4 linked regions of the Arabidopsis thaliana genome follow. The protein of the gene in region 2 interacts with the protein of the main gene of each other region in a pairwise test. Each region holds a gene or a part of one and is shown on either strand. Other genes may lie near its edges. The genes, in order: ANNAT1, PROT1, MHX and AGP27.

Region 1 (7,814 bases), on a different chromosome or scaffold from region 2:
TCATGATGGGTTTCGTAACTTTTCCTCTGTTCGTCTGCAAAACAACAATTTTCATGGAGTTTCTCCATCTCCGGGAGAGATGAGATTACTTGGCCGTCAAGATTCCTTTAACCTAAACGGATTTGAAGAGATGTTAGCTCTTAAGAATCACAGAGATTTTCTCTTAGATCAGATCCATGAACCCATAAAGCGTCCTCCTTTTCTCAGAGGCAACGATGCTCTCATAAGTTCGTTGATGTTTGAAGGAAATAATAGGGTTTCTCAAACCCTAGCCGCCATGGAAGCTTCTAGAGGTTTTTATCCAGAGGAGGATAGTTCTCTGCTGAGTCCATTTCACGAGAAGGTTTCTGGAAAGCTTGGAGCTTCTTATCTAGAAGATACAGTACTAATCGGTCAAGGCTCTTATGGGAAGATGAGTCCAAAAAGCAATAATGATCTCGTCTCCATGGTTGAGATTTATGGATCTGTGAACTTAATGGCGAAAGATCAGATTGGTTGCAGAGTTTTGCAGAAACTGGTCGAAGAAGGAACATTTCATGAAGCTAAGGTTATATTACTTGCAATCATTGACCATGTCGTTGAACTTTCCATGGATCCTTTTGGGAATTACATTGTTCAGAAGCTGTTTGATGTGAGTGATGAGGAACAGAGGACGTTGATTGTGAGTGTGTTAACGTCAAATCCAAGGGAGCTTATCAGAATCTGTCTTAACACTTATGGGTAAGCTTCACCTTTTTTTTTATCAACTTTTAGTAAATTTGATTCATTAGTTTAGTCAACAAGTCCACGAGCTCAATAGAGATGGAGACATTTCAGCTTTTGAGGATTAAGATGAGATCTTTCTTGTTTTTTTGGGGAAGATGAAATCTTTTCTGTTTATGGAAATATTTGAAATCTCTGCATTAGTTTTGTAGCCATCACTATCAGTCTATCACTAAAAGAATGCAACATTTGGTAGAAAAGAATGAATTTTTATTTTTACTTTTTGCTGTTTTTGGACAAACCAAAACTGCTTGCTTCAGGAAGAGAGAAAAAAAAAGCTGAGACCTTTGGGCAAAACCCTCTAAATCCGCTTACTTCTGATTACAAAAGGCTGAGAACTTTTGGCCAAAAGCATAGAAATTTGCTGGTTTTGATTTGTGGATAATATGTTTTTGAATTCTGATTTGTGGATAATGTGTTTTTGAATTTAAACAGGACAAGGGTTGTGCAGAAGATGATTGAAACTGTGAAAACAAAACAGCAGATTGCATTGGTGAAGTCAGGTCTCAAACCGGGGTTTCTTGCTCTTGTCAAAGATCTGAATGGGAACCATGTGATACAGAGTTGCTTGCAAACCCTTGGCCCTAATGACAATGAGGTTACATCTTTTGTTTCATACTCAAGCTTTCGTGAATGTTGTGAAATTTGGTGTTAGTTTGAGTTGGAAGCAGCTACAAAGTAATGTGCTGAGACTGTTGTTTTTGTTTCTTACTTAAGATCTGATTAATGTTGTGAATTTTGGTGTCAGTTTGTGTTAGAAGCTGCTACTAAGTACTGTGCTGAGATTGCTATTCATCGACACGGATGCTGTGTTCTTCAATGCTGCATTTCAAACTCTGTTGGACTGCAACGTGAAAGACTCGTCGCTGAGATATCAAGAAACTCGCTTCACCTTTCTCAGGATCCTTTTGGGTAAATTTAGTCTCCACTTAGACTTAAAGATTTGGTATAGTTTGAAAAACTCTCCTTATAGTTAATGAAATTTGGCAGGAACTATGTGGTGCAGTACTTAATAGATCAACAAGTTTCTGCAGTGAAGTTGCTGGTTCAGTTTAGAATGCACTACGCCGAGTTAGCTACTCAGAAGTTTAGTAGCCACGTGATTGAGAAGTGTCTAAGGAAGTATCCAGAGAGTCGAGCTGAGATCGTCCGTGAGCTCCTCTGTGTTCCAAACTTTGAATATCTTCTGCAAGATCCTTATGCGAACTATGTGATCCAAACTGCTCTCTCTGTAACCAAAGTAAGTCCAAATCAATACATATGTTATAAGCTTTTAGAAACAGAACTTGACATGGCTTTTGGGGTTGATGCAGGGACCTGTTCGTGCTAAATTGGTGGCGAAGGTTTACAGGTACGGGAAACTACACTCGAGCCCTTACTGCAAGAAGATTTTCTCCAAGACCATCTTGAAGAAGTGACTTTGATTAGTAACTAAAAAATGTTGTTGTTGTTATTTTGTGTTTCAAGATCGGATAGGGCTTTAGAGAAAACAATGCCCTTAACTTTTTTGTTGTTGGTCTCCCTTTTTGTAGTGACAACAACTTTTGTCAAAACCAGAACTACTTGTTAGTCTGTGTTTTAGGCCAATGCTCTTCATATATATATAACTTAAGAGACCACACTGGTTCTCTCTGTCTCTCTCTTTTGCATTATTTAGGAACTCAAAACACACAACAGAAACAAACAAGGTTTTTGTAGAAACAAAATCAAACGATTTGAAACTCATCAAAGAGAGAGAGAGGGAGATAAGAGATAACAGAAGCTGTAGAGCAGCTTATGTTTCTCTGTGGAGGATTGATTGATTAAGCATCATCTTCACCGAGAAGTGCGACGAGCATCTTCTCGTAATCTCCACGAGTGTCTTTGGTAATAGCTTTCTCCAAAGGAATGCTGTTCCTGCGCTGGTACTCCTCTCCAATGACCTTCAAGTCAATCTCAGCTCTTGTGGTCACAATTCTAGTGAGTGCTCCTTCATCAGTTCCAGTTTTGTTGATTGCTGAACGAAGAACATCGACAAAGTAAAGCTCTGGTCTTGTCAAGCACTGAATGGTTGACCTCAAAAGTGCAAGGAACTTGTCATCATCATCTCCTTCCTCAAGACTCTTGAGAATTTCCTCGCCATGATCATCTTGGTAACGGTTAAAAGTAGCATTGATCTGAGCTTTGCTTCTTGTGGACAAGATTCTAATAACATCCTCATCATTGTAGTGCTTGTCCTTGATTTTCTCATGGACCAGCTTAGCTTCTTGCTTAGCCAATGTCATGTTCACTTCATCTCCTTCGTACCTGTATGAGGTAACAAGAGAAACCAAAAGCTTTCTGAAGTCACCGGTAGTGTGGTGAGCAACGTCCTCTTCAAGAGACTTCTTGTAGCGAGCATGGTAAGCTTGCCTAGCGTGAAGCAGCTGCGTTGATGTCCTTGTGCAAGCAACTTCCATAAGAACTTGGTTGCTTGAAGTCCATCTTTTTGTAGCTTCATTAGCCAATAAAGCATCACGCTCACCGGGTTCAAGAGTCCACAACAAGATAGCTCTCTGTCCATGACCAAAAAACCAATTAGAATACAATGACTTCACACAAGATGTTTAAAAGTCGATACTTAAAAGTCCGAAAACCGAACCTCGAAATCGTTAGAGAGCTCCTTGTCAAGAGTCTTGAGAAGGTCTTCGCCGTAGGTTTCGTGGTATGCTTGCCTGATGACTTTCCTCTGTTCAGCACTTCTGTGAGCCAAGATTGATATGATCAAGTCCTCGTTCGTACCCCATCCTGCGAAAAACACGAATCAGATTCACTTTACATAACCATCAAAGTCACATACTTCAGATCCAAGTCACACACACTTCAGATCCATAATAACAGAACCGGTCAAACAGATTCACAAAATATAAATCTTAAGATCTTAGTGTTGTATTACACGTAACTACATTATAGATCTAGACTAAGAAGACAGATCTGTGACAGTGAGAATCAAAACACAACTCAATCAAGATCTCGTGTGAATGTAATCATTGTCATTATCAACATGATCAGACAATCAAAACTTCATCACTAACACAAAAGATTGTTATAGATCACACAAAGAAAGGAGATCATTGTCACTGATCCGATCCATGAAGGAACAATCTCGATCTACATCATCGTACAAATGATCATAAAACGCTACCGACACAACATTCATATCATCGGACCAAAACAAAGATCGATCCACATGAAAAACAATCAAAACAAATGATCATACAATAACCCACCAAACGAAAACCAACAGATTCACATCACTTTTACAAAAAGTGGATACTGATCATGTAAACAAGAAGGTAACAAAAACAGAGAACGTAACAAGAAGAATCATGAAACTATTATACCTTCAAAAGCGGTTCTCAATTGCTCAGCATCATCAGAAGGAGCAGGAACAGAATCAGAAACCTTAAGAGTCGCCATTTTTCTTCTACTTTTAGTGTTTTGTGTATGTTGGGAGTCGAAGCCGACACAAGATTGACTTATAAAGGGAAAGGCTAAGAGGTTTAGGACACGACGTGGCCTGTCCGTATATACCAAAAATATCCCAAACGAATTATTAATTCTTCTGCCACGTGTTTCTTACACTTTATGAATTATTTAGCATTTGCTTAACTTTATGCACAAATCATGATTTCATAAAAAACTATCGTAATCTCGCATTAACGGTTTCATTGGTTGTCACAAAATCATCCGCAAGATTATAAGTGTTTAGATTTCGTTATTATAATCCATTTTGTATTATTTTAACACGTTACAGAGTACAAGAGTGTAAGATTTTTTTATTATCACTTGCAAACGTGATGTCCATTAGAACTCATTATACAAAAAAAAACTTATTTCTTTCTTTACAAATCTCCTACTATGCATTTTTTTTTTTAATCTCCTACTATGCATAAGAAATCTCTTACTAATTCTGGCGATATACAGATAGACAGTATCCAAAACTTTATTTGAATGTTCATATGTGAGGAGTAACACAATGACCATTATCTAAAAATGCTTTTAACAGTTTTTTTTTTTTTTTTTTTTTTTTCATTTTTTTAACTTCATAGATTTCCATTAACCAAACACATTACAAGACCAAAAGGCCTAACATGGCACGCAAGCCGCAAAGATAAAAACAAACAAGGCCCAAAGACCAACAAGGGCGCAGCCCAATACATACAAAAGCTGAAGCAGGCCGAGAAGCCCAAACAACAACAACAAAAGCTGAAACGAGAGTCGACACCCCTTCCTGCAAACACAAGCAAGAACAGAGAACAAAAGCCAACAGAGATTACTGTTGCTGTATAGATAAACACAATGATAACATAGAAATTGATGGAGAAGTTCAGTTTCTAAGAAAATGTAGTGGAGATTGACAACATCGTTGGCCGAGATTCTGGATTTGCTTGTAAACACAATAAAGCCATTTCCACCATCTTCAAGAGCTTCTCTCTATTTTGTCCCCGTGGTTCTAATACACGTTCATCGGAAATGCTTCTTAGCGACAGAGCTTCTCCTGGAGACGAAGACAAACTCGATACCAAATCTCCCGGATGTTTCCCAATTATCAATTCGAGTATCAAAACCCCGAAGCTATACACATCGCATTTCTCCGTCACCTTCATCGTGTAAGCAAACTCTGTTGCGAAAAATCAAGTTCAATTTCGAATTTAGTGATTTAAATTTCATAAGCTCAAAATCAGATTTAGGGATTTAGATTTACCTGGTGCAACGTAGCCGTAGGTTCCAGCAACGGCGGACCAGTTTGATGAATCCGTCTTTAGAAGTTTTGCTGTACCAAAATCGGAGATCTTAGCTGTGTAATCGTTATCGAGAAGGATGTTTCCGCTGCTAATATCACGGTGAACGATCGGTGTTATTCGGTCATGGTGCATATACGATAAAGCGTGAGCCACACCTTTCACGACGTTGATCCTTTTGGTCCAAGTGAGTCGCTTAGCTTCTTCGTCGTTGGCTAAGAGTTTGTTTAAACTTCCTTTTTCCATGTACTCGTAGATCAGAAATGTGTGGCGGCGGTGGGAGCAGAAGCCGAAGAGCTTCACAACGTTGCGGTGACGGATCTCTGTTAATGCTTTTACCTCGTTTAGGAACTCTTGCTTCACAACTGGCTTTGATATCTCTTCGTCTATTGTGTCATGTAGTCGTTTAACGGCTATGATTGTATCTTGGAGGTTTGCTCTGTAGACTTTGCTGTATCCTCCGGTTCCGATGAGGTGTGTTGGATCGAATTCGTTTGTTGATTCGATGATATCTTGGTATTTGAATTTGCCATCAACGCTGAATATGGACATATTCTCTCCTGTTTCAGGATCTGTGTTTCTTCCATTTTGTAGTTTTCGTTTCCGAATGCAGTAGGTGAATGTGTTTGCACATATAGAGAGAATGACGAGTACTCCTAGGATTGGCACTAATATCCACACAACAAGGTTGCCATTTTTCTTCGGTTTCTTCAACTCACGGCATGGTTTCAATCTTTGTTTAGGAATATTACTGCATAAGCCTATGTTTTCCTCCAATGCATCTGCTGTTGCTTTTCGAAACGTTGGAGTATCTGGAAGCGGACCTTCGAGTTTATTGTTTGATATATCGACGTTCGTCAGCGCTATCATGCCCTCGAAAGTTGTTGGAATGAGACCTGAGAGATTGTTGTGTGAGAGGTCGAGCTTGTCGAGGCTTTGCAGGGAGCTTAGTTGTGATGGGATTTCTCCGTCGAGCTGGTTGTGGCTGAGATCAAGTTGCGTTAACTGAGTCAGCTTTGATAGTCGGGGAATGCTTCCGTCGAATTTGTTTCTGCTCAGGTTCATGTCATGAAGCTTTAAAAAGGAGTCAAAGGTTTGTGGGATCTCTGAGCTGAAATTGTTTGAGGATAAGTCAAGAGACTCAAGATTGGTTAAGAAACTTAAACCTGCAGGAACTCTTCCAGATAACTGATTCCCATTAAGTCGTAGCCTCGACAAATTCGTGAGATTTCCAATTGCTTCTGGAAGTTCACCAAAGAGGTTGTTGGTAGATAGATCCAGCTCAACTAGTTGTGTCATGTTCCAAATCTCTGTTGGGATAGCACCCGTGATGTTGTTGTTTGACATGATCAAGGCACCTAGCTTTGGACTCTTCTCCCAGTTGCTAGAAATCTCACCGTGGAATTTGTTGTGGCTGAAATCAATGAAGTTAAGGTCTGGGTAAATCCCAAAAGCTTCAAAAATATCGCCAGTGAATTTGTTTCCTAGAAATCTTGCTCTGATCAGGCTCTTGCAATCTCTCAAGCTTTTCGGGATAGGACCTTCGAGGTGATTGTAATCCAATGAGATATTTTGAAGCTTCCTACCTTTGCAAACAGTTTCAGGAAAGAAACCAGTGAAGTTGTTGGTGTCAAGTATCAAGGTAGTTAGATGTGAAGAGTTTGCTACTCCTGGCGGGATCGCACCAGAGAGGTGGTTAACACGAAGGTACAAACTTTCCAGCTTGGTAAAGTTACCAAAGGAATCAGGAACAGAACCTGTAAGTTTGTTCTGACTTAAATCTAAATTGATCATGGATTCCATGTTGCCTAGCTCCTGGGGAATGACACCAGTTAAATAATTCAGGTAAAGATAAAGATACGTCAAGTTCTTGAGATTTCCGAAGGAAGAAGGAATTGAACCGGTAAGTTTGTTGTTATTCAACTGTAAATCAATCATCGATTCCATGTTGCCTAGTTCCGGGGGAATGACACCAGTTAAATAGTTCTCGTAAAGATAAAGAATAGTCAAATTCTTGAGATTTCCTAAGGAAGAAGGAATTGAACCGGTAAGTTTGTTGTTACTCAACTCTAAATCGATCATGGATTCTATGTTGCCTAGTTTCGGGGGAATGCCACCAGTTAGATAGTTCTGGAAAAGAGAAAGAAGCGTCAAGTTCTTGAGATTACCTAAGGAAGAAGGAATTGAACCAGTAAGTTTGTTCTGACTTAGCGCTAAATTTGTCATGGATTCCATGTTGCCTATTTCTGGGGGAATGACACCAGTTAGATAGTTCTCGTAAAGATAAAG
Region 2 (8,697 bases):
GGGTTCTTCAAGAAAAAAGCACTTAAAGGCCAAAAAAACAGAGGCCAGAGAGAGATGTCACTCACCGGAGAAGACGGCCATGAAGATCAGAGCTTGTGCTCAACATTTTTCGAAATTGACAATTTTCTTTTGTAAAGTTCATATCTTTACACAATTCAATTTGGGTTTTGTGTTTTCTTAATTGATTTCTGTTTAACTGGATTTTTAACTTTAGTGAAGAACCGGACCGGAGATGACTAACGACGAGTAACGATAGAGATTTGTCCGGTCTAACATTCCGGTTCGGTCCAGCTCAAAAGACCAAGATCAAAGCCAAAAGTCCTCGGTTATTATAGATGTAGTAGTATCACAAACAAGAAACTCAGAGAAAACTGGGAGAATTTTATGCCTGGTTCAATTATGGAAGACAAAGAACATGAATCATATCGAATACATGTAAACAACACAGCACATACACAAAAATAAAGAGAATTTGAATTCAAGATTCGGGAACGGCTGCTACAGCTGCAGCAGCTGCGGTAGCAGCAGCAGTAGCGCGTTTGATGGAAGCAGATTTGATGAGATGATTGTAACTTCCTTTCTCCTTGAAAAGCTGAGCGAAATGGTGCTTGCAGTACAATATTCCCTCTAGAGCTGCATAGTTCGATGGAGATATCGGACAGCCTCCATGAGAACACTTGAAGCAAGATTTATGGTAACACTGGCTTTCCACAGTTACCTACAATTTTTAGAAAACAGAACAATGAGATATAAGAATTGACTGTATTAAAGAGATCTCAACTTTATGTGATTCGGATCCATGTAACTCATATTGCAAATGATCCAAATAAGTTTAACTGTGATTTTCTTGACAACAATCACAGAGAGAACACAAAAGTGTATTGGAAAGCAATGGTAATGACATATACAAGCTTAAATGTATACTAACCTTTTCGATAGGATACACGGTTTTAGTGCAAGTAGCGCATTTGTCTTGCGTTCCAGAGAACATACCAGCAAGTCGACTAGGTGTCCTATTCTGAGAACAACCAAGAAGAGAAATAGAGTCATGTATCTCAAGTCGTGTAACTAAATAAAAACATCGTTGTTAAGAAGCGTTTACCAGCTCCGGGGTTGGCTTATCAGTCAATGGCTTTGCAGCTGTGAAAGGAAAAAAAAAGTTTGAAGATTAAAATTAAAGTGACCACATGTAAAAGCTGGACCAGAAGGTGAAGAAAAGAGTTTTACATACGTGACTGAAAGTTCTTGCTGAAACTACCAGACTCCTTGAAAAGCTGCTCAAAATGAGGCCTACAATACACCACTCCTTCCATTGATGAATAATTGCTCAGCTGTTCAGAAACCATCAACACGTTTTAACTTTATCACTTTAACGAAGACCAATTCAGATCAAGTATCTCTCTAGCTAAATATCTAAATGAAACTCTCAAAACACTAATAACTACATTTAGGAAAGGCAAAAGAGGAAAACTGACTTGAAGTCTGCTTTTGCAGTGAGAGCATTTGAAGCAAGCCTTGTGATAAGAGATTCCATCAGCTGAGAGAAGCTCCACAGGGTACACTGTCTTCTCGCACGCCCTGCATTTCTGCTGAGTTCCTGTAAACGACATCGTTTTTGAGATCTTCTTTCTACCTCCAAAGATCTCTCAGCTCAAACCTTCTTCCTCTGTAACAACAACATTTCAAAACCCAACAACACAAAGAGGTTTAACAAAAAAAACTACATTAACACATTCTTGACTTTTCACATTAGCCATTTGCATCAGTTCAAACAAATCAATCCATGGATCCATAACCACATATTTTGATTCAATCAGTACACAAAAATCGAATCTTTTTCTACAAGCATTGCAAAAAAAAATCTGATTTTTAACAGAATAAAATCGTTAAGAACTAACAAACGGCAAAATGGTTACCTCTTCGTCGATCTGATCAAATGAGATATCAAAAAAAGAAACCCAAAATTGAGAAGAGAGAAATGCAGGTTGAAATTGGAGCTGAGAATAAAAAGAGAGAATCAAAGAAGTCGCTGCGTGAAGATGAAGATGAAGAAGAAAGGTAATGATTACGGAGCACGATTGATAAAAAATATCTAACGCTTTCGTTTTTTTTTTTTTATCTAGAGCTTTGGTGGAGACAGTGGGGTTCCACTTTGGCCTGTCTAAATTATTGTTATAATTTCAAATTAAACAGCTAATCATTGAAAGATTAGGTTTTTGTTAAACCAACAACAATTCTGTTTCTTCTCTTCTCTATCTCACTAAATTAAGGTTTTTTTAAGTTAGGTGTTTTTATGTTCTTCTCTAATACTATGATTTACATTTCTAATAGAGACTTTAATCATGCAACTTAGTATTCTTTGTTGGTAAATTTTCAGAATGATTATGATGAAAGTGGTCTTTTATATGCTTTTTAGATTTTAGAACTTGATTTATTTATTTAGGCTCTAATGGTAAGACAAATAGAGAGAGAATACAAGCTTACAGGAGAAATAAACCTGCCTAAGAATAAAGGATACACAATTGACTATATAATATAATGAATTACAAATCTGCAAAAACATGGAAATTTTTGGAATCAACGGCGATGAGTCTGACAGCTGCAATGGCTGCAGCAACAGACATCAAACTAAAGAAGACAACGTTAAGCCAATGCCATAGCTTTTGCATAGCATTCAGCTTATTGTTCTTTGCCTTATAGTACATGTGGTTGGCTAGAATGAATGTGAGAGGGAATGTGCTCACTGCACCAGTTAGGCTCATGAAGTCACCGAGGAACGGCAACAGCGCTGAGATAAGCGTGCTTACCGCTATGTACCCGCCTCTCGCCATGATCCTAAACAGCAGGTTCTTTATCGCAAATGGGTTTCCTTTGATCCCATACTTTGTGTCCATGTACTCATATGTTGGACTCGCAAATATCTACAACAAAGAATTGAGTCAGACATATAGTTAGAGACGACAGTCTTTGTTAAAAAAGCGTAGACTTGGCGCTAAGAAACTTACGTGCAAAGAGATAACAGATTGAAGGATAGCAGAGACGTTAGCAAGGGCTTTGACCCAGAGTGGGCCATTAACACTGTTTAGTAGATAGGTCGAGGTTGAGGATCCATAAGCCCAATATCCGATGAATGTAACTGCGTACATCGGTAAAACACCCGCTGTGAATTGAAAGTATAGAGCCTTCATCATGTTTTTAACAACTGGTTGCCTCACTGTTGCCTAACATTGTGGAAATTATAGTGTCAATATGATTAACAAACAAACTTTGTTTAAGATGCAGGTTTTACTTGAACAAAAGGTACACTAATACATAAAAGCAAACACAAACAAACAATTGAACTTTGAAGTCTAGGGAAAAGTCACCTGAATTTCTGGAAGCATCCCGGTGTTGAATGCGAAAACCAGATTTGCGGCTGCTCCTGTGATGGTAAAAAGTTTGCTCAATGATGATCCTTGTATCTCGTAATCTCTTGAAGGTGTTTTTACTCCTAGAAACAAACAAAACAAAGCAAGAATTAGATTTTTGCAGTAGTTAAACTCATTAGTAATGTTGAATCTTGATGATCATTTGATTAGTTATACCATCTCTAACCGATAGCACGATTGCCACAACAATATAGATGAGACTGAGGAAGGTCGAAACTCCAAGCCAGACCCCAAGAGCCGATAAATGAGGAATCCCAATAGCGAAAATCGCACAAATCAAACCAGCAATGGCTATAAAATGAGGTAGTTTCATGGTATGATCATCCCTGAAAAGCACATAAACAGCCTGCAGAAACAGAACACACAACCAAAATTAACTAACTCGTCTAACGAAATCAAGAATCAAGAGAAGAAAATGTTTTACTACCTTTAAGGCGGAACCAGCTAGGATAATGAATCCACAATTAATCATGAAAAGATTAACATATTGCAATCCCCATGTAAGATGATAAGCCTTCCTACCTGATAAAAAGAGAGATCATTCCAATGAAGGTAACAACAGAGAAGAGATTAAGAGAGCTGGTTTGGTCTTTTATTTACCGTAAATGAATCCAGCAAGGTCTCTATAGCGAATGTGTCTTCTGCCACCAAACTCATGAAGCTTAGCTATTAGAGTGTTTGCATAAAGAGAGATTGCAGTAGCAATAAGAAGACCAACCACACCACCAATCCAACCTAAAGGAACCATAATTGTTCCTGAATATCCCAACACATACGCGCTGTTTATACCGGTGGTCAAAACGAACGCCACCTGAAACCATGAATCTGCACATTCCACAAAACATAGTATAAGCTTCCCAAAACATGATCTCAGTTTATAGAAAGCAGAGTTTTGGCAAAGCAAGAAAATTTCCCAATCTTATGGTTCCAGGATCATTAAAGAAAACATTTTTTCAAAAGGGTCATCGTTAAAATCATCAAAGTCAACATTTTGAAGTAGTCAGATTCTACTTCTTCTTCCTGGTGATACCATTTTCATATTTTAATCAAAAAAAGCATTAAAGAAATTGAAATTGGGGAAACAATCTCCGTACATTTAAAAAAAACAAAACTTTTTTCGACACATCTAAGCAAACACATTCTTATCGAAACCAGATTGAAAAACAAAACAACAATTGGAACAGAGAAAAACAAACCGCTGCTAATTTGATGAGCAGTGTCAGGGATTTCGATATCAACAACGTCATCTCCATCTCCGACATTGATTTTGCGATTCTTAGCTTCGGTGGCGGTCATGTTTGCTAAGAGACTTTCTCTTTCTTCTTCGTCTTCTTCGTCTTCTTCGTCGACCACATGGAGAAATTTTGAGAAAGCCAGCTTTTATAATTTTTTTAACAAAAAAAATTCTCTTTTTTTAGCGAATTTTATCCTTCACTAATATCGAAACTTTTGATTGAAAGAAAAAGCGAGCCCAAGAATCCAGCTCGATTCGCAACTGATGTTAAACAAAACAAAAACAATCTAATTGATTAGAAATCGAATCGAAGAACAAAAGATTGATTCTTTTTCTTTTTTTTTGTAATTAGTGCTTCTTTCTTACTTGTGACAGAAATCTCTTTAAAAAATTGGTATTGGTGGGTCTGAGCCGTTGAGGTTTCTTGTCTGAATTTGTTGTTTTGCATGAGAGATCGATCCTATAAGAATGCCGATATTTTTATTTTTATACTATAAAAAAAAACAATTTATAATATAAAAAAACATATATCTGCCTTATTAATGTCTTTCCATTTATTTGAGTTTTTTCTTATTACTTTCTGTTAGCTGGTATTTTTGTCTAGTTGTGCTATTTTGAGTCTTTGCCAAGTTTTGCTTATTTTATTTGAATTCATCATTTCAAGAAGATATAATAATTTTGCTGACGAATAATAAATGAAAATGTACGTGAACTAGGGAAATATGGATTTTAAGTGAGAAAAAAACAAACTATTTTAGTACTAATTGTTTGTTTTGCAAACTGATTTTTTATTTAAAAATATGGAACCATCTAAACACATTAGATTTGTGTTGTTGTCGAAGCTACCTTGTTGAATGTTTGTAAGTGATGATCTTCTCAATCTTTACGATATTAATTTAGTTATATGTTATTCTCAAGCTACCAATTTTGGATACAGTTTTGTTTTCTTAATACTTTACCAAAATATATCTAGGTTGAGAAATACCCGATTTATATACGTTTGTACTTGGCTTTTATGGTTTTTCTTAGATTATTTATATAAGTTTGATATGGAGAAGGAAACACGTTAAGTAAAACTATTGATAGTGATTTGTTTTATAGTTTAAATAAAAGGTTAAGCTGATCGATATGCGTGGAAAACTTCTACATCACACTTAAAAAAAAAGTTTATACCTAAGTTAACATCTTACAGAATGTGCATCTTTAGTCTCTAGTCAAATGATAATGTCTTTGACTCTCGATCATTTAAAACTTCAATACATTCTCTTTTACACAATTTTAATATTTTTTTTTTATCTATAATAGAAAGTTCTTTTGCCTTTAGAAAATACAGTAAAGTTTAAAATTGATACTATGAGAAAAAATTACAGTTGGGATTTTCATCGAATTTATCGATATATTGTTTAATTTAATAGTACAACATATTCTAGAGAGCAAGTTGATTGGAGGCGGAGCCATGCAAGTTACAGTCTATTGGCTGAGGTTAATGGCAGAAGCCAGAAAGGACACAACTTCCTATAAATCTTAAACCATTTGGAAGTACCAACTCAGACTTTATACATCTCCAACTGTTCAAATTAATTAACGGATATGTTTTGAATCAATCTGTACATGATTGCATAATAAGTGACTTGTGTTTACTGAAATCATATGCCACTCACTGACCATGACACAAAACAAAATTCTTTGCAGAGAATATAATACAAATAGATTACCAATCAATAAAATAATTATAAATAAGTATTTAGATGTGGATATCGAGTTGTCGACTATAGTGAAGTTTCCTTTTCTTTAACAGTAGTTTTTGTTCCAAGTGGGGTTCTAGATGAATATTGTTTTTGAAGAAAAAAGAACATATTCATGACAATTTTAGATTGAGTTAAGTTCCAAAAAAAAGTTTTACATGGTTACAAAAGCCTGTATCATTTAAGGCAAAAATTGTGATTTGGCTAATATTACTGATATTGTATTGATCATACACTCGTGCAGTTGAGTTACCGCTTTAGATGTTGGTACTTGGTAGTAATATTAACATGCATAAAACAAACGTTCCTTTCTATATGATAGTTGAGAAATTACTTAGGAATAAGTATATCTCGTTTATACCCTAGATGCTGTGAAGTGCCTTAATAATGGACCATAAAGGAGTCTTACTGCTGTGGACGCAATTAGTTTCAAGGTCACTTCACAACAACAAAGTCTAGAATATTCTATAAGCAAACTTTGAATTACTTTTAACACCGAAAAGAAAGAGAAAGGAGAAAACATCTTTTGGACCATCTTTATTTTGGTAGGAATATAATTTGGTAAAAATTTGACTAACAAAAGTTTTATGAGTACAATTATTGATTGATATGATATGTAGATGCCAATCATTTTCATCTCAAACATTGTAATAAAACGTAATAAAAAAATTGCACACAAGAAAGTTTTGAATCAAGATGTGCATGAGGATGAATGGGTAATAGGTCATTATGGGATCTGAAAATATTGGGTTCGAAAAATTTGGGTTGTGCAAGTGAGGTATGATTGAGTCCTTGAAAGTCCATTCAAAACATTCTTTTACCGCTTCTCTGCCAGTTTCATTGGGTTGAAATAGTGTTTGACCCTCCCTCGCAACCATATGTTCAAGCTCAAGACATATGATTGATGTAGAGGCCACTTGAGCACTCTTAATTGCATCTGGCAGTAAATGAGGAGCACTCTCAAGACGAGTATCTGTCTACATATCCACGGGTTGTTCACATTTAGGAGCCACCCATCTCCACAGTCTTTATATTCCTATCCCATAGTCCATACTGGGCTTTTTAAGCTGAGCCCATGATTCTGTTTGTTTTTCTATTTTAATTCAGTTAGGTGTTTTGTGCTTTTCCTTCTTTTATAAATTTTTTAATTAATTTTATAACTTCATAAAAATGGGGAGAAAAATGATTGTACGAACGAATAGTAGGTAGAGATATGCATTTCGTATGTACGATATGCGTATCCATGTTTGCAAATAAATTTAGTCAACCATGGAATGGAACTAATGATGTTGTCCTCAAATTTATCTTGAGCTGCTATTTTCAAATAGTTGGATTTTACTAATTTGGAGTGTAAATAGATCGTTACAAAATATCGATTTTTAGTAATTAGAAAGAAAAAATGTGTAAAGGTGCTACAGACCTCCAAACACCCGATTAGAGCCAAGAAAGTATTTAACCATTGTATATAACAAACTGAGTATTTGAATTTGATTAGGGTAAGAGGTTAAATTGTTCTAAGTCCTACATTAACCAATAGATGTGTCCTTGTTTAGTCAAAGTTCTTTCTATTTTACGAGATCCAACGACTTGGGATTTGGGATTTCAAACTACCAAGTAAGCATGAAGTACATAGTCTCGAATGAACGTAATTTTAAGTTATACTACCATATATTTGGGGAAATAATTGATATGACATATATATATATATATATATATATATATACATATATTGAAAGAACAAAAGTTTTCGGAAATAGCCATGGATGTATTTCAGAGAAATTTTAAACTAACTTTAAAATGACGTCTTTCATAAAATATATAAATTTCATAAGCTAATTTTTAATTGGAAATTCGATCTCAAAATCCAATGAAGAAGAAAGCCAAAAAAAAACAGGTAGGTGACTTCTTCTTCTTTTTTGGTTTTGCATGATTAGGTCAAAATTCTTTGAAACTTACCTTTTAAAAAATGAAAATTGTAAGAAGAGAGTTCGTATACTGTTGTAGGCTTGAGATACAAGGTTGCGGAATCTTAAAGCCAGCAAAGTTCCCGGTGAAGTATCCATGATAGTTGAGAAATTTGCCATACGATCGAAGAGGAAGCTACCGAAGGATGAATCCAAAGAGATAGCATGATCCAAAACCAAGCAAATTTTTGTGATTTATTTGCCAATTATAAAGAAAATATGGGGAGAATTCACCTTAATTAGGATCAATGCGATCCCTTTGGATCCTTCCTCTAGTTGCTATGAAGAATTTGTTCAACTCTCTATCTCTCTCTCACTCTAAAAGT
Region 3 (8,957 bases), 2.9 Mb from region 2:
GCCGCCGCTCTCCGCCGTGCTGCTGTCGTCTGGTTCCGCAATGACCTCCGTGTCCACGACAACGAGTGTCTCAACTCCGCCAACGACGAGTGCGTCTCCGTTTTGCCCGTTTACTGCTTCGACCCTAGAGATTACGGCAAGTCCTCTTCCGGCTTCGACAAAACGGGGCCTTTTCGTGCCCAGTTTCTGATTGAGTCCGTTTCGGAGCTCCGGAAGAATCTCCAAGCCAGAGGGTCGAATCTAGTTGTCCGTGTCGGGAAACCTGAAGCTGTTTTGGTGGAATTGGCTAAGGAGATTGGAGCTGACGCGGTTTATGCTCACAGAGAAGTGTCTCACGACGAGGTTAAAGCGGAAGGGAAGATAGAGACCGCGATGAAGGAGGAAGGCGTTGAAGTCAAGTATTTCTGGGGAAGCACTCTCTATCATTTGGATGATTTGCCCTTCAAAATTGAAGACTTGCCGTCAAATTACGGAGCTTTCAAGGATAAAGTCCAGAAATTGGAGATTAGGAAGACTATCGCAGCGCTTGATCAATTGAAAAGCTTGCCCTCTCGAGGAGACGTTGAGCTTGGCGATATTCCTTCTCTCCTGGATCTTGGCATTAGCCCCACTCCTAGGACTAGCCAGGTTTGAGTTCTTCATCTTTGCTTAGCTTGATTGATTCCTTTATCCATCTAGGTTTAGGCATTTAGAAAAGGTGGAAACTTGTGGGACTTATAATTCAAACTCTGCCAATTGGTTCCATTTCTATAGGAGAAGAGCTACTTACCCATAGAGTGATAGGGATAAGTACTATCAAGTGTTAATAGTAGTAGTGCTGTTTGAAGGTCCATGGATTCTTCTTAGGATCAATGAACGTTTCTCTTTAGGTCCAATATTCGTCTGCGGCTCTTACTGTCTTACACCTTCTCTTAGGAGTTAACATTTTGTTCTGCTCAGGAGGGGAAACCGACAATGGTTGGAGGAGAGACAGAGGCGTTGACTAGACTAAAGAGCTTTGCCGCGGATTGTCAGGCTCGGTTGAGCAAGGGAAACCAGAAAGGAGGCAACAACAGTGTCTTTGGTGCAAACTTCTCTTGCAAGATATCACCTTGGTTAGCCATGGGAAGCATCTCTCCTCGTTCCATGTTCGATGAGCTGAAGAAAACAATCTCCGCATCAACCACCTCCACAACTCCAAGGTAATGTCTCAGAAACGCAAAACACTTCAGGAAACTCTGGTGAACATAGTAAGTGTATGTGTCTAATTATCATTCTTTGAAATGATTTTCTCAGGAACGGACCGGGAGATACAGGACTCAACTGGTTAATGTATGAGTTGCTATGGAGGGATTTCTTCAGGTGAGCTCTTACTTTCTTAACTTGCCCCCTAGTAGAAATGTAGAATTTGTATTTTGTCTGATTCTCTCTTTGATGTGTGTTTAAACTTGGAACAGGTTTATAACCAAGAAATACAGCTCAGCGAAGACGCAGGTCGAGGCTGGTCCGGCTACAGCCTGTACCGGTGCCTTTGCTTAAACATTTGAAAACTTTCAGGTGACCGGAAAAGTTAGAAGCGACCTGTTTCTTTGCCCTACTCTGGTGTATGGTGGATTAATTTGCTATCCGGACAGGACTTTACTGCTCTCTTTTGAAACTTGAGTGTCAGGAGAATAAAATCTAAGCTTCTTTTTTTGGCTCAATCAAGTTGTCCGTTCCCTGTTCTAAACATTTCGGATACTCATTCCATAAAAAGTCTCTACAATTTGAGACGCTCTCCTTTGTGGTTAAGACTTGAGAATGTATCTTAGAAAATAACCGAAGTAGTTGTGTCTATGAATATTAAATTCAGGAATATTAAGATGTCACTAATATCAGAAGCAAGCAGCAACTAGAATATGCACTTCGTGGTAAATGGGCATTAGAAATTCTACAACACTTATTAAAGAACCGTACTAAACACTAGTTACTTGGATGAAAGTTACATATAAAAGTTTATATTAATCGACTAAGATTATTTGCTTGACTTTAGAGAAAGTTTGCATATATGTACCACAAATTGGTAACACTGCAAATAAAAAAACAAAAAAAACTGCAGGATAATGAAAATGTACTCCATATATGCACCTCCTAACTAGAGATGAAGCCTCCAAAATCATAGTCAATATGATTTATATTTGCAACACATATTTAGCCAACTGCCTTTGAACTTTGATAATTATATAAAACCCCCTTAACAAGTAAGAAAAACAAAAACTGAGACATGTGCAAGTAAGCTAAGACTTTTTCTTCTACTCATGGGGTTTTTCCTTTTGTTGCTTCTTCTATATGACGCCTGAAACTTTCAAAGAAGAAAGAACAACGAAGACGACCCAAAGCATCATGAAATAGGCAGAAGTAAGCCAAGCCCATAGCCTTGGACCTCCAAGCTCAGCTCCTATAATCAACCTTCTCAACACAAGCACCACGATACATCCCACTGATGTCGCAAAGAATATCAGAAGCGAAAAGCTTAATCCTTTAGCGTTTTCTATGTATAAAGGCTCTCTGTATGCAAAGTAGTTGTAGACTGTGTTTATCAGCCACGGAACTCCAATCCCCACATAGATGTTCACCGAGTTACTGCATAATTTATCACCAAAAAGATCATGAAAAGATCTTCAATGTTTGTAAAGGGTTTTGAGATTTTTACCTGCAGGTGATGTTTGCAATAGCTGAATCTGCGGTTAGTTGTCGCTCTGCAGCGATTTTACTTGCTACTAAGTCTGGCCATGAAGTTCCACTTGCGAGTGCTGTGAATGCTATCACATATGGGTTTATTCCTGCAAGATGAAAAGAGTTTCTAATGTTTTAGAGCTCAAATGTTTAATCTTATAACTTCAGTTTTTGAAAGCGGTGAGGGTGTGTACCAGTGACACAGCTTATAAGGTCAGTAAATCTTGTGACAACAAAGGCTACTCCACTGATGAAGAGGAGAGAGCAGATGAAAGCGATCCAACCGTGAGCAATGTTGCAGGGGGGCACAAATGCAAAAAGCAGTTTCCAAGGGGCGAGGAGTAAATGCCAGAAAGATTTCGCGATTCGAAGATAAATGCTATCCACTTTCTTTGATTCTGATGTTTCCAACTGTTTGATTACGAATAGGAAGAGAAACAAGTTAAGAAAGATGTGTTGATAATGATCAAAAGCCCAAAATAGGATATAGAAGAATCTAGAAAACACTTGGTAAGTTGAAGATTTTTACCGTTATTGCATCCACGAATTGATGTTTCCAAATGTCAAAAACAGTAGAATTCTTCGCCTTACCCTTCTTAGTCGCAGAATCGGGTGGAGTATCTGCCACAGTATGATAAGTGATCCCTGCAAAAGTGTTTGTTACAGGGAAAGTTTGATTTATAACAATATACTACCAGAGATAAATATGGGAATCACATAGATTTGGAAATAAGCAAATACGCTAAAACTGATCTTATATCAATAGAATAGACAGCCTAATCATACTTAGTACCTGTATCATTGTTAGCTGAATGAATAGAGAAGATATCAACAATGTTTCTGCTTCCCGATTCAACAGCATCTTGAGCAGCATCCGAATACACATCATGAACATCATTGTCATTGTCATCTTTGGATGTATCAATCTCCTCTGGAACCCACTCCTCTGGCCTATCACCTCTTGACCTGCAAGTATCAAATACAAACACAAAGATACAATCTTTAGTAGAAATCCATTTTGAAGGAACTAATATTATTGTCTGGAAAAGAAACCCACATTGGTAAAGACAAGTAAGGCCATCGCTTGTCTTGGGCGTACGCATGAACTAGAAGCAATCCGTATTGCAGTACTGTCAATAATGCCTCCACAAGTGTAATTACGTTTGGTGACCACACCTGTGAGACGTGAAAAGAAACAGATTTTTAGACCTTATCAGTATAGAGTATAGACTCAACAGAATCTGTTTAAACCGCTTTTCACAGTTACCTCGAGGATTATGTATAGCCAGATGTAAGCCCAAAAAGACCATACGAGCTCAACTAGCCAAACACCTAAGTCGGATATCTTTTTCAGTTCTCCAGCTTTTGGCACAACGACACAAACAGCGTGGATGGGGAAAAGATCAAATGCAGCTGAGCCAACAAGTGTTCCAGGACCAAGACCTATATGACAAAACATGATATAAGAATTCATGAACTTAAAAGTAAAAACTAGAGTTTTGGAAGGAAGAAAGGAACAACCACCAGACCTCCAGCATACCGCTCCCCCATATTCCGTATTGCATCGATGGTAGCCAAAGAAATCTGAGGGAAGCTAGTTCCAAACGCCAACAAACTGATGTCTGCAATAGTAAAGTTCCAAACTTTCTTGTATGTGATGACTTCAGCTTTAGTAATGGGATCAATTGTAACCACTTTACGGGAATGTTTCACGACATTCTCCATAGACTTGAAGAACCGTGCAGTGATGGCTGACAACCCAATAAAGCAGTAGGCAAGACCGAGAAAATATAACACACCCCTCAAACCATCTGACAAAGTGTTTTCTCCGGGGAATAGAAAGAAGTTTTCACATCTTAAATGCCCAAGAACCTTAGAAGATTCTTGCAACTCCTGGGTTTGATTAAGAATTGAGGCCATTGTAACTTATTCAAACCCCACCTCCTAATAAGTCAACTGAACACTTGTCCTCACTGGGGAAAAGAATCTGGCACACCAAAAAGAAGCTTACAACTTTTAGAAGAAACTGATGAAACCTGTAGCCTGATCGATCGAACAGTATCAAGAGGATGCGAAACAAACGGAACATGCAAAAAGATTTCTTTCCAGAGAATCTGTAACACAAACTAAACATTGCAAAGGATCCAATGGCATGTAACCGAAATCCAATCTATAACCAATGCTAATAACAATTGCATGTTCCACTGTATGCGTAATCAAAATCCAGAGGTAACCAGATCAAAAGATTATAACTTTCATCATGGGTTCAGTAAAACAAGTTGGGTTCTTTTCACAAAACCATAATTTTCAACGAACAAATCTCAACAAAAATAGCTAAAAAATAAGAAAAGAACAGATGAAACAGAGTGAGCCACGCGACGAAATTGATCAATGCGGACGTACCGGAGAATATCTCGGTGAGCGGCATTCACAATACGCCGATCACGGGAGAGATTTTCCGACAAACGGAAATCGAGAGGAGCTGATTGGAATCGGTCAAGCGTTGGATATTGCGGTGGAGACTTGGGAGCCATTTATACACATCTCTCTAATCTCTGCATGACACACTTCAATTATTGTATCGAAACGAGGATTCAAGCGTACATCGACCGACACGTGATCTTATCTAATTGGATGATTTACTTGACTAACTAGGATTAATTAATCTCGCCTTTCTTTGGTAAGGTTTAAGAATATGAGACCTCAATTGCAAGTTTTTTTTATATCTTTTTACTCCCTGAATTTTGTTTCATTTCATCCTTATAAGCATTAGATTTTAATTTCAACCTGAGTAATATTAGTTTTATCATCTCCTCGAGTTTAGATATTATCATAAACATATATCTTACTAAAAACCTGACCTGACTAATTTATTTTCTTTATAAAAGATAAACATGATAAATATGAAGTGTGAACGCATTATCAAATCAGAATTAGTGGATATATATGTATTTTGTTTTTTTCTGATTAAAAAAATTATTGAGATATATACAATTGAACTATGAGGACAAAAAATATATATATATATATATATCTTATTATATAAAGTATGGTTTTCAAAATTGACTTGGCACAGTGTCAAGTCAAACGATTAGATGTTTACATGTGTCATTCAAAATTTAACTTTTTTATTCTTTAAAAAAATAGAAAATCTTAAAAAGTAAACAAATTTACATATACTAATTTATATGTCTATATATTTATAAACAATTAACATTTATTCAACAAAAGCAAAATTAACAAATTTGTCTTTAACTCATGTAATCATAAGTGAAAATAGAACACTTTGAGAAAAATAGCTTAGCTTATAGGATTTAACTTTTCAATTATTTTCATTTATTAATTTTAACTCATTTAATATTAATTTGCATGATGTAAAATTAACTTACGAGATTACGTGGGTGATTGGTTTGTCTGTAACTGTAGATTTACTGCTGTAGAATTTTTGTTGTAGGTGTGATGACTGTAGCTGTAAGTTTTATTGCTGTAGAAATTAGACTGTAGGTTTTATTAATATAATTATTACTTAAAGAAATTGGGTAGAAATAAGATTTTGGTTGTATGTATTTTTAAACAAAAAAATATTATCGGGTCGGGTTCGGTTTGGGTTCGGGTTCGGGTTCGAGTTATTTATATATTGAAATATCAAATTTTGTGTGCAAATCTATTAAATTACTTGAAATTTTCAAAAATTCCCAAAACAACATGAGTAGTTTTGCTTGAATATATCTAAAAATACACAAAAATAACTAAAATATCCAAAAAAATTCTAATATTTTCTATATATAAGTATAAATATAACTAATATATACTTATATTTGAGATATGTTTGCATACCTATTCGGGTTTGGGTTTGAGTTTTTCGGGTTTTAAAGTTTATATCCGTTCGAGTATTTGAAAATTTCGGGTACACCCGCCTAAATAGGCGGACCTTATCTAGTATATATATACATTTGAACTATATTGTTTACTTTTTAGTTGATTTAGGCTATGTATGACATTGACATAAATCTACCTGTTATTTATCACGTGTAATTCGTGTAAAGTGTAAACTAGAAAGTTCAAATACGTATTTGTTTTTGTTCTGTTATATAGGATTGTCATAGTTGTAAATCTACAATTTATTACAACATGAATAAGTACACAAGCAATGTAATTGGATTTAATTGCTAAACTCTTTACATGGTCAATCTAAATTTGATAAGAAATACGTCACATATTACTAAGACTGATAGTTTTTTTGTTGTCACCAATTATTTTTGTTAAATTGACGAAAACAATTCCAAAAACTCAAATGTACAAAATCATACAGTCTCACAAACATCTCATAGAGAAAGATATAAATCTCCCATATGGGAACGATAACACGAGGTCGAAATACTATTCGTAAAACTAAAACGCCTTAGTTATAAATCGTTAGTTGTAACCGCGGTCGAGAATACATACAGATCCACGAAACTACTACTACACATGCTGCTGAATTGGAATTTGGAAAAGACCATCTTCTTTAGGAAGAGCTCACCCAATGAGTGACAAAGGTGTCGGTGGCTTGTTTTCTACCCATATGTATACATCAAATGGTAGTTTCATTAACGTTTGGTTTTGAGAAAAGTAAGACTTTGGCTAGTAGCTAGGTTCGTATATAATAAACTCTTTTGAGAAAGTTCATCACTGGTGGAAAATGTTAAACCGGTTTTTTCTCATTTTTTCCGCCATGTTAACCACCGGTTTAAAAAGACCGTAACACATTGAAAGATTAATAAGGGTATATTTGTAATTACGGTTTGCTGGCAATTTTTAATTATTATTTTAATTAGAGAAAATAGAGAAGCCCTATCAATGTACATGGTATATATATAAAAGGCAAAACCCTAGAAAACGATACTCTTCGACTCAGCCGTCCTTTCGCAGAAACCATTTGGAGTTGGAGCTTTGGACGACGACAATGGTATCATCTCTCTTCCTTCCATCTTCATTTCGTTTCATTTGGGATCTGTTAGTTGTTTGCTTTCATAGTAGAATCATCGAATTAGATCCTTCACGATAGAGTTAGTGTTTCCTGGATGCATTCTCGCTTGAAGATGAACACACATGGGTTTCGATTTCCTCTCGGTGGTAACACCATCATTGCTTATCTGCTTTGGATTTAGCTTTTGATAGATTTGGTAGTTGATATAGCTTATGAATCCATCTAGAAATTTGCGTAGAGAGCAATGTCACAAATGTTCTGTGGTTACTTTATCAATCTAATCACGCCACGATTTGGTTTTAGGCCCCGAAGAAAGGAGTGAAGGTAGCTGCTAAGAAGAAGACCGCGGTATGTTTCATTTCCAATTCTCTTCTTCTTTTTTAGGTTTTCGAACATTCAATTTGTTCTTTGTTGTTGTTTTTTTCTTTCTTGCTGAAGTTTTGTGTTTTGATTTCTGATTTCTCCAGGAGAAAGTTTCAAACCCTCTATTCGAGAGGAGGCCTAAGCAATTCGGTATTGGTGGAGCTTTACCTCCTAAGAAGGATCTCTCTCGCTACATCAAATGGCCCAAATCCATCCGTCTTCAAAGGCAAAAGAGGATCCTGAAGCAGAGGTTGAAGGTCCCTCCAGCTCTTAACCAATTCACCAAGACTCTTGACAAGAATCTTGGTATGTCTATTTCATTCTCAATCTACTCTTCAAACATTTACTACTTGCTGCTGTTAATTTATTATTGAAATATTTACCAGTTCTGGTAAATCTTGTGTTGCTGTAACCTTATAAGAAGACTTCGGTGCCTTATTTATATTCGTTATTGATAATTGCAGCTACCAGCCTCTTCAAGGTCCTTCTGAAGTACAGGCCAGAAGACAAAGCTGCCAAGAAGGAGCGTCTTGTAAAGAAGGCCCAAGCTGAAGCTGAGGGAAAGCCTTCTGAGTCTAAGAAGCCCATTGTAGTCAAATACGGCCTCAACCATGTGACCTACCTCATTGAGCAGAACAAGGCCCAACTTGTTGTTATTGCTCATGATGTCGACCCAATTGAGTTGGTTGTCTGGTTGCCTGCTCTGTGCAGGAAGATGGAAGTCCCGTACTGCATTGTCAAGGGCAAATCTCGTCTTGGAGCGGTATGTGTTGTGGGTGATTTCTCTCTAGTTTATAGCCACTAGCATGGAGAGTTAATCTTTATTTCTTTCTCTGACTTTCAGGTTGTTCACCAGAAGACTGCTTCTTGCTTGTGTTTGACCACTGTCAAGAACGAGGACAAGCTAGAGTTCAGCAAAATCCTGGAAGCT
Region 4 (6,375 bases), on a different chromosome or scaffold from region 2:
CTATACAATTTTAGATACTAATTCAATCAGAAATCTAAATTCCACAAATCACGCTTCGTGTTTTTTTACATATATATAGGAAATATACTCTTAAAGCTGAGATTTGGAAATGGTGATCGGATTAAGCACAATGCTGGAAAAAACAGAGGCTCTTTTCGCTTCTGATCATGCATCGGTCGTCTCCATGAATTTGTTCGTAGCTTTGCTTTGTGCTTGCATCGTGCTTGGTCACTTGCTTGAGGAGACTCGGTGGATGAACGAGTCAATCACTGCTCTTATCATTGTAAGCTTCGTTTTTTTTGTTTCCCCAAATCTTTAAACACATTGCTTAGAAACATTCTAAATTTGGATTACGCAAAAATAGGGTTCGTGTACTGGGATTGTGATCTTGCTTATAAGTGGAGGCAAAAGCTCAAGGATTCTTGTGTTTAGTGAAGATCTCTTCTTTATTTATCTTCTTCCACCAATTATATTCAACGCAGGGTAAGTTCTTTTTATATAGAATTTCATGAAAAATTGAAAGTCGGAATTGAGTAACACATTTTTTTGTTACAGGTTTCAGGTTAAGAAGAAGCAATTTTTTCGCAACTTCATGACCATTATGTTATTTGGTGCTATTGGAACTCTCATTTCATTTGTTATCATCTCATTTGGTAAAAAACCAATCTCAATCAACTCCCACATTTCAATATCATGAGTCTCATATATTTTGATGATGTTTCCGGTTTTGTTTTTGTTATGGCTAGGTGCTAAACATCTTTTCGAGAAAATGAATATCGGTGATCTTACCATTGCGGACTATCTAGGTACCCTGAAACAAAGAAAACCCTTTTCAAGTTCTTATTCATTAAGTCTCATACTGTTTAAATCTGTACTGATGATTTTGCAGCCATTGGAGCAATATTCTCTGCTACAGACTCTGTTTGCACCTTGCAAGTAAGAACTTTTTTTCTGAAACATTCAAAGATATTATTCTACTACATTTTCTAATCAAAAATTAACTTGCACGCTTTGTTAAATCTAGGTGCTTAATCAAGACGAGACACCTCTCTTGTACAGTCTTGTCTTTGGAGAAGGTGTAGTGAACGATGCCACATCGGTCGTGCTCTTCAATGCAATACAGAGATTCGACCTCACAAATATCAATTCAGCCATAGCTTTGGAGTTTGCTGGAAACTTTTTTTACCTCTTTATCTTAAGCACAGCACTTGGTGTTGCAGTAAGTTTCTTTCTCTCCGCTCCTCAAATTTCTAAACCCGAAAAATTCTCACTCGTTTTCTTTTAGGCTGGATTGCTCAGTGCTTTTGTTATCAAGAAGCTCTATATAGGAAGGTATATTCGTATCTACTGATGGTTAAAAATGTGATTTTACCCTTTCTTTAATAATCCTTTTGCTTTGTTTTTGTTTTGTTTTGTAACATCAGGCACTCTACTGATCGTGAAGTTGCACTTATGATGCTATTGGCTTACTTATCATATATGTTGGCAGAGGTAATAAGAAAAATTTGAAACGTTTTGGTTACATTTTTTCCAACAGAAAATGAAAACATGATACATATATCCTTTGCAGCTATTCCACTTGAGCTCTATCTTGACTGTGTTCTTCTGCGGGATTGTTATGTCTCACTATACATGGCACAATGTTACAGATAAATCCAAGGTCACTACAAAGTAAGTTTCTTTTTCTTCTCCCAATAATTAGAAAATAACTCTACTAATTTGTTGTGCTTGATTGACTAAACTGTATACGTTTTCTTGGCGTAGACATACTTTTGCTGCAATGTCATTTCTAGCTGAGATTTTTATCTTCCTTTACGTTGGAATGGACGCTCTCGATATCGAGAAATGGGACGTTGTACGCAACAGGTGAGACTTAGAGTGTGATAATACATCAATATCTTTTGTTTCATTTTCATAATATTGTTTAACAATTTTGGCAGTCCTGGTCAGTCGATTGGAGTTAGTTCAATACTTCTTGGGCTTATTCTTCTGGGTCGCGCCGCGTTCGTGTTTCCACTTTCCTTCTTGTCCAATTTAACAAAGTCTTCACCGGATGAGAAAATAGACTTAAAGAAACAAGTAACCATTTGGTGGGCTGGTCTGATGCGTGGTGCAGTGTCAATGGCTCTTGCTTATAACCAGGTTTTGATCCGTGAACTACAAGAAACAAAGATAAAAAAGTGATCTTTGGGTTTTAATAAGTTCCCATGACTTAATCTCTTCTCTCTGTTACATCATAGTTCACAACTTCAGGACACACCAAGGTTCTTGGGAACGCTATCATGATCACCAGTACCATCACTGTTGTTCTTTTCAGTACTGTGGTACGTTTCAACACTTTGTTCAAACCGGTTTGCTTCCTACTGAAGTCAAATCGGGTTTAGCCTATCCAACACGTAACCTAATCTCTAACCTTTTTTGCAGGTGTTTGGATTGCTAACCAAACCGTTAGTCAAACATTTGCAGCCTTCATCAAAACAGTCCTCCACGACCGCGCTGCAGATCACACTAAGATCTTCTTTCCACGATCCGATCCTCCATGAGCCGTTGCTCAGTACCCAAGGCCAGTCAGAATACGACCCTGAACAACATGTTAGCTTCAGAATGTTCTGGAAATCTCCGTCCAGGGCCATTCATCATTACTGGAGGAAATTCGATAACGCAGTTATGCGTCGCATATTTGGTGGCCGAGGCGTTTCACCAGTAGTTCCAGGTTCACCCATTGAGAATAGTGTTCCGCAATGGAGTGAAGAAGTAGAAAACAAGGAACAAAACGGCGAACCTTGATGACCATAATGACATGAGTAAGATCTTTGACTTGTTGATCGCGTTTTTTGGCGTTGTTGGACGCAGACGCAACATGGGCCGGCTCTAATTTTTTGCCTCCAGTTTTGGTATAATGGTTTTGGATGTGAGTTCTTATTTGCCCGGTGTGATTTTTTGGTTTGTGGTGTGATTTTGTAAAGCCGGTCCGTTTTTCGTTGTTTGAGTTTGTGGTTTTGTTGAAAAATTGTAACTGTCCATGTAAATAGGGACTGATATAGGGGTGACTTGAGTACACCTAGCTCATATGCAGACGTTAGCGTCTGCGTTTGGAGATTCGAGTTTGCGTTGGTGGGACGTGAGCAGATTTTTTAATCTAAAGTTTGTGTACACTTTCTTGTACTTCTTATACAAAACAAAGGGACACGAATCTTTCTAATGTTCATAATTTATTACTGGGTTTTGCAAGAAACTTGTTGACAATATACAAATAAACTGATAACTTATATATAAATATAACTTTTGAGAAATCTAATCTTATTTTTATGCTTGCACGTATATAAGGACAAAGTGAGTGGGTATCAATCAACCTTATAGTAACATATACAATCTTTCACGCATAAAACCCTATAATGTGAAAACAAGAAACGTCCTTTACATATTTCTTCTCACCTAGATATTATTAATTTTAATATTGAGACTTTGAAACCCCAGAAATAAGATAAAGTGTGGGACAAGAAAAGAAGGCACCTTTTTTTGTTGTTGCTTTTAGCCGTGAGGCCAGCATATGCAGTAACTCACATGCATGCGCCTCTAACCTTGTGGCATTTTAGGAATTATGCAATAATGCACTATACTTAAATACGTTAATTCACAAAGTAATACATTCATTCAGTTCATAAACACGTCTCAAGATTAAGACAAAAATAATCATAAAAAACTGGTGTTTTACATAAACTTATGTCGAAATTAATTAGTAGTCTACATATAATTACTCAAGTGTTATTTGCATGTAAACAGTACAAATTTTTGGAACGTTTGATTTTGATACTACTATAAACTGCAGTATACTGTAAAGCATGCATATGACGTCACTTTAATTTGAAACGTAATTTCAACTTTTTCAAAAGGTTCTTTAGCTTAGCGATAAAAAAAAAAAAAAAAGTTAGTGTATAGTAAACGAACAAATGAAATGAAAAGAAGAGAAAAGTATAAGTCCTCAAAGTGTATTGAATCACTTAACGGTAAATTAGTTTTTATTTTTATTTTTATCCAGAGTTCTTAAGTTAATTATGCATCAATTATGTGGTTCTGACGTAATATATTACTTGCGTTTTTCATCTAAACCAATCTAAAACTGTAACAAAATGTTAAGTGGAGAACAATAAAAAATACAAATAGTAAAAAAAAATTGAAAATCAAACTAAATCTAATTTTATTCGTTATTTTTAGGGGACAAATAAACTCATGAAAATAATGACGTACGTGGTCTAAAATATATGAATGACCTATATAGCTGAAACGGCAAGAAGCCGGAGCGAGAAACAATAGACGGCGGCGAAGACAAAGTAGATGAAAACTCCGGGAGCTTGAGAAGACAGAGAAGCAAGAGATGAAGCCGGAGGAGAAGCCGATGGAGCGAAGGCGGGATCAGGATCTGCGGAAACGTCGTCGTTTTCTGGTTCAGGAAGTGTTGAAGAAGAAGGGATGGTTTGAGTGGAGGAGACGGCGGGTGAAGGGAGGAGAGGAGCGATCTCCGGTGAGATCTTTTCTTCAGAGGGAGAGATTGTTTGCGAAGATGGGATTGTATTTGTCGTCGGCGAAGAGAGAGAAAGTGAGGAGAGAAAGATGAAGGTGATGAGTGTTAGCAATATAGATGAAGCCATCTTTTTTGGTTACTGTAATGATGAACAAATCAAAGCTGAGTTGTTTTTTTCCTTAACTGATGAGAGCGCATTTTGTGTTGTAATAATGATACTGTCTCTATAAAAGAAAACTTTTAGCTCTAATAGTAAAATATTATAAATTGATTTTAAATGGAATTTGTCTCACCTTTTTCCAAAAAGATTATTATTTATCAATTTAAAGGATGTGTTCGGTGGAAAAGAAAATATATTTGCTGAATTCTTGAAGATGGGCGTAGATCGAGTTTTCACTTTTTAGTAGAAGCTCTTATATATTGCACATATTTTCGAATAAACATGTGCTTTACTTTTTGCTGAAAAATATTATGTTAATGCAAATTATACATATTGCTAAGTACGAGTAAAGGCATCTCCATCCATGAGAAACCTACAAAGTTTCTAAAACAAAAAAAATATTAATATTATATTATAATTTAATTATTTGATTAAAAAAGTAATTTTGTTAAAAAATTGAATCAATAGTGAGATGAGAATTGTCATGATGGGTTGTAGAGAATATCTCAAAATTTTTCAAGTGAGAAACTTTCTACATTTTCTCTCCTTCATTTTCATTATTTTTATTTTTTTAATTGTGAAAAACTCTTATGAAATACCTTCAATGGAGATGGTCTAATTACGTTTGTTGTTGCCTCGTTGGATGTTCAAATAAAAAGCACATTTTATATTGGGTTGTTCCTAAACAAATATTTTGTTGTCTTTTGTACTAAAGTTTATTGGCGAGTTAAGAAAAGCTTTGTGGTGTGTGGGAATTATTATTATTATTTATTATTTATTGTTCTTTAGTTTGCTATGCAATTCGAGCCCACTAAAGAGGCTTCCTATGGGCCCAAAAAACGCAGCCCACTATTGTAGTGCAAAACGTGCTGAGTTTTCTACATTGCATGCCCAACAATGGCCACCAGTGTAGTTAAAGACTCAAGAACTTGCTGACCTCTATTTGTTTGACTTTCTTTTTTGTGTGAACAAAATCACATATTGTTGATGTCATTTGTTCTGCTATAATTCTTAACTTCAGATTACAGATAACGAATTTTCTCTTGATGATTTAAACAAACATATATAATTGTCAATATCAGAAAATGAAAAGGAGATATAAATAATTTTTTTTTGCGCCTAATCGAAACTTCACCTACCATTTTTTAGCGTATAAAAACGTTAAAAATACCAAAATTTAGAAATCCAATAAAAGTTGTGAAAAAAAGCCGCAAAGGGTCGTTGTTGTTTGTCGCCTCTCAATGGCAGCTTCTTCAACTAATGCTCGTCTCACCAACCCTCCTCGTCTACTCTCCAAACCCCGACTTTCACCTACCTCCGTCGCCAATCTCCGTTTTCCAGCCGCCGATTTCTCCACTCGCTTCTTTGCCGATTCTTCGTCCCCGCGGCTAAGGAGTGTACCGTTTCCGGTGGTATTTTCCGATCAAAGGCGCCGGCGAAGCATGGAACCTAGCAATGTCTATGTTAGTGATTCTTCCTTTAGTTCAGTTTTCTTTTGTTGTTTTCTGTTCCGTTTTTATTGGAGAAGGATAGGTAATGATGAATTTGCAGATTTATCGCTTCAAATAAATTTGGTATTAGTTTTGGATGAAGACTTTGATGTTTCGTGTACAACATTGGTTTAGCTATTTAGAATCGATCTTCAGAATTTTTGTTTAGTTCTGAGAAGTAGTTGGATTTTTAATTGATTGTG

Evidence for each region.
Region 1: the proteins of PROT1 (region 2) and ANNAT1 interact in a protein complementation assay, tested with the Arabidopsis thaliana proteins (one large-scale study listed by BioGRID).
Region 3: the proteins of PROT1 (region 2) and MHX interact in a protein complementation assay, tested with the Arabidopsis thaliana proteins (one large-scale study listed by BioGRID).
Region 4: the proteins of PROT1 (region 2) and AGP27 interact in a protein complementation assay, tested with the Arabidopsis thaliana proteins (one large-scale study listed by BioGRID).

The regions. Positions count from the first base shown.
Region 1 is NC_003070.9:13,221,690-13,229,503, reverse strand, and holds ANNAT1 (annexin 1), read right to left. Parts: upstream 4,337-7,814; 5' UTR 4,201-4,336; coding exon 4,125-4,200; intron 3,529-4,124; coding exon 3,383-3,528; intron 3,297-3,382; coding exon 2,565-3,296; 3' UTR 2,265-2,564; downstream 1-2,264. Other genes in the region: PUM9 (pumilio 9), read left to right, coding at 1-720, 1,198-1,360, 1,511-1,674, 1,753-2,002, 2,076-2,180; AT1G35710 (kinase family with leucine-rich repeat domain-containing protein), read right to left, coding at 5,118-5,404, 5,489-7,814.
Region 2 is NC_003071.7:16,652,049-16,660,745, reverse strand, and holds PROT1 (proline transporter 1), read right to left. Parts: upstream 5,170-8,697; 5' UTR 4,725-5,169; coding exon 4,625-4,724; intron 4,399-4,624; exon of another isoform or gene 4,254-4,398; coding exon 4,029-4,253; intron 3,951-4,028; coding exon 3,856-3,950; intron 3,775-3,855; coding exon 3,585-3,774; intron 3,491-3,584; coding exon 3,366-3,490; intron 3,222-3,365; coding exon 3,006-3,221; intron 2,922-3,005; coding exon 2,544-2,921; 3' UTR 2,334-2,543; downstream 1-2,333. Other genes in the region: AT2G39910 (ARM repeat superfamily protein), read right to left, coding at 66-142; WLIM2a (GATA type zinc finger transcription factor family protein), read right to left, coding at 479-718, 929-1,018, 1,103-1,140, 1,232-1,331, 1,476-1,610.
Region 3 is NC_003071.7:19,522,215-19,531,171, forward strand, and holds MHX (magnesium/proton exchanger), read right to left. Parts: upstream 5,367-8,957; 5' UTR 5,098-5,366; intron 4,682-5,097; 5' UTR 4,615-4,681; coding exon 4,224-4,614; intron 4,138-4,223; coding exon 3,962-4,137; intron 3,871-3,961; coding exon 3,752-3,870; intron 3,661-3,751; coding exon 3,488-3,660; intron 3,340-3,487; coding exon 3,224-3,339; intron 3,106-3,223; coding exon 2,889-3,105; intron 2,802-2,888; coding exon 2,672-2,801; intron 2,602-2,671; coding exon 2,304-2,601; 3' UTR 1,903-2,303; downstream 1-1,902. Other genes in the region: PHR2 (photolyase/blue-light receptor 2), read left to right, coding at 1-627, 940-1,181, 1,276-1,341, 1,437-1,518; AT2G47610 (Ribosomal protein L7Ae/L30e/S12e/Gadd45 family protein), read left to right, coding at 7,640-7,642, 7,967-8,011, 8,131-8,332, 8,491-8,789, 8,871-8,957.
Region 4 is NC_003074.8:1,927,250-1,933,624, reverse strand, and holds AGP27 (arabinogalactan protein 27), read right to left. Parts: upstream 4,758-6,375; 5' UTR 4,650-4,757; coding exon 4,272-4,649; 3' UTR 3,941-4,271; downstream 1-3,940. Other genes in the region: NHX4 (sodium hydrogen exchanger 4), read left to right, coding at 110-283, 365-483, 556-653, 747-806, 890-936, 1,025-1,219, 1,286-1,332, 1,425-1,491 and 5 more; MEE32 (dehydroquinate dehydratase, putative / shikimate dehydrogenase), read left to right, coding at 5,924-6,145. UniProt on the Arabidopsis thaliana protein: Proteoglycan that seems to be implicated in diverse developmental roles such as differentiation, cell-cell recognition, embryogenesis and programmed cell death.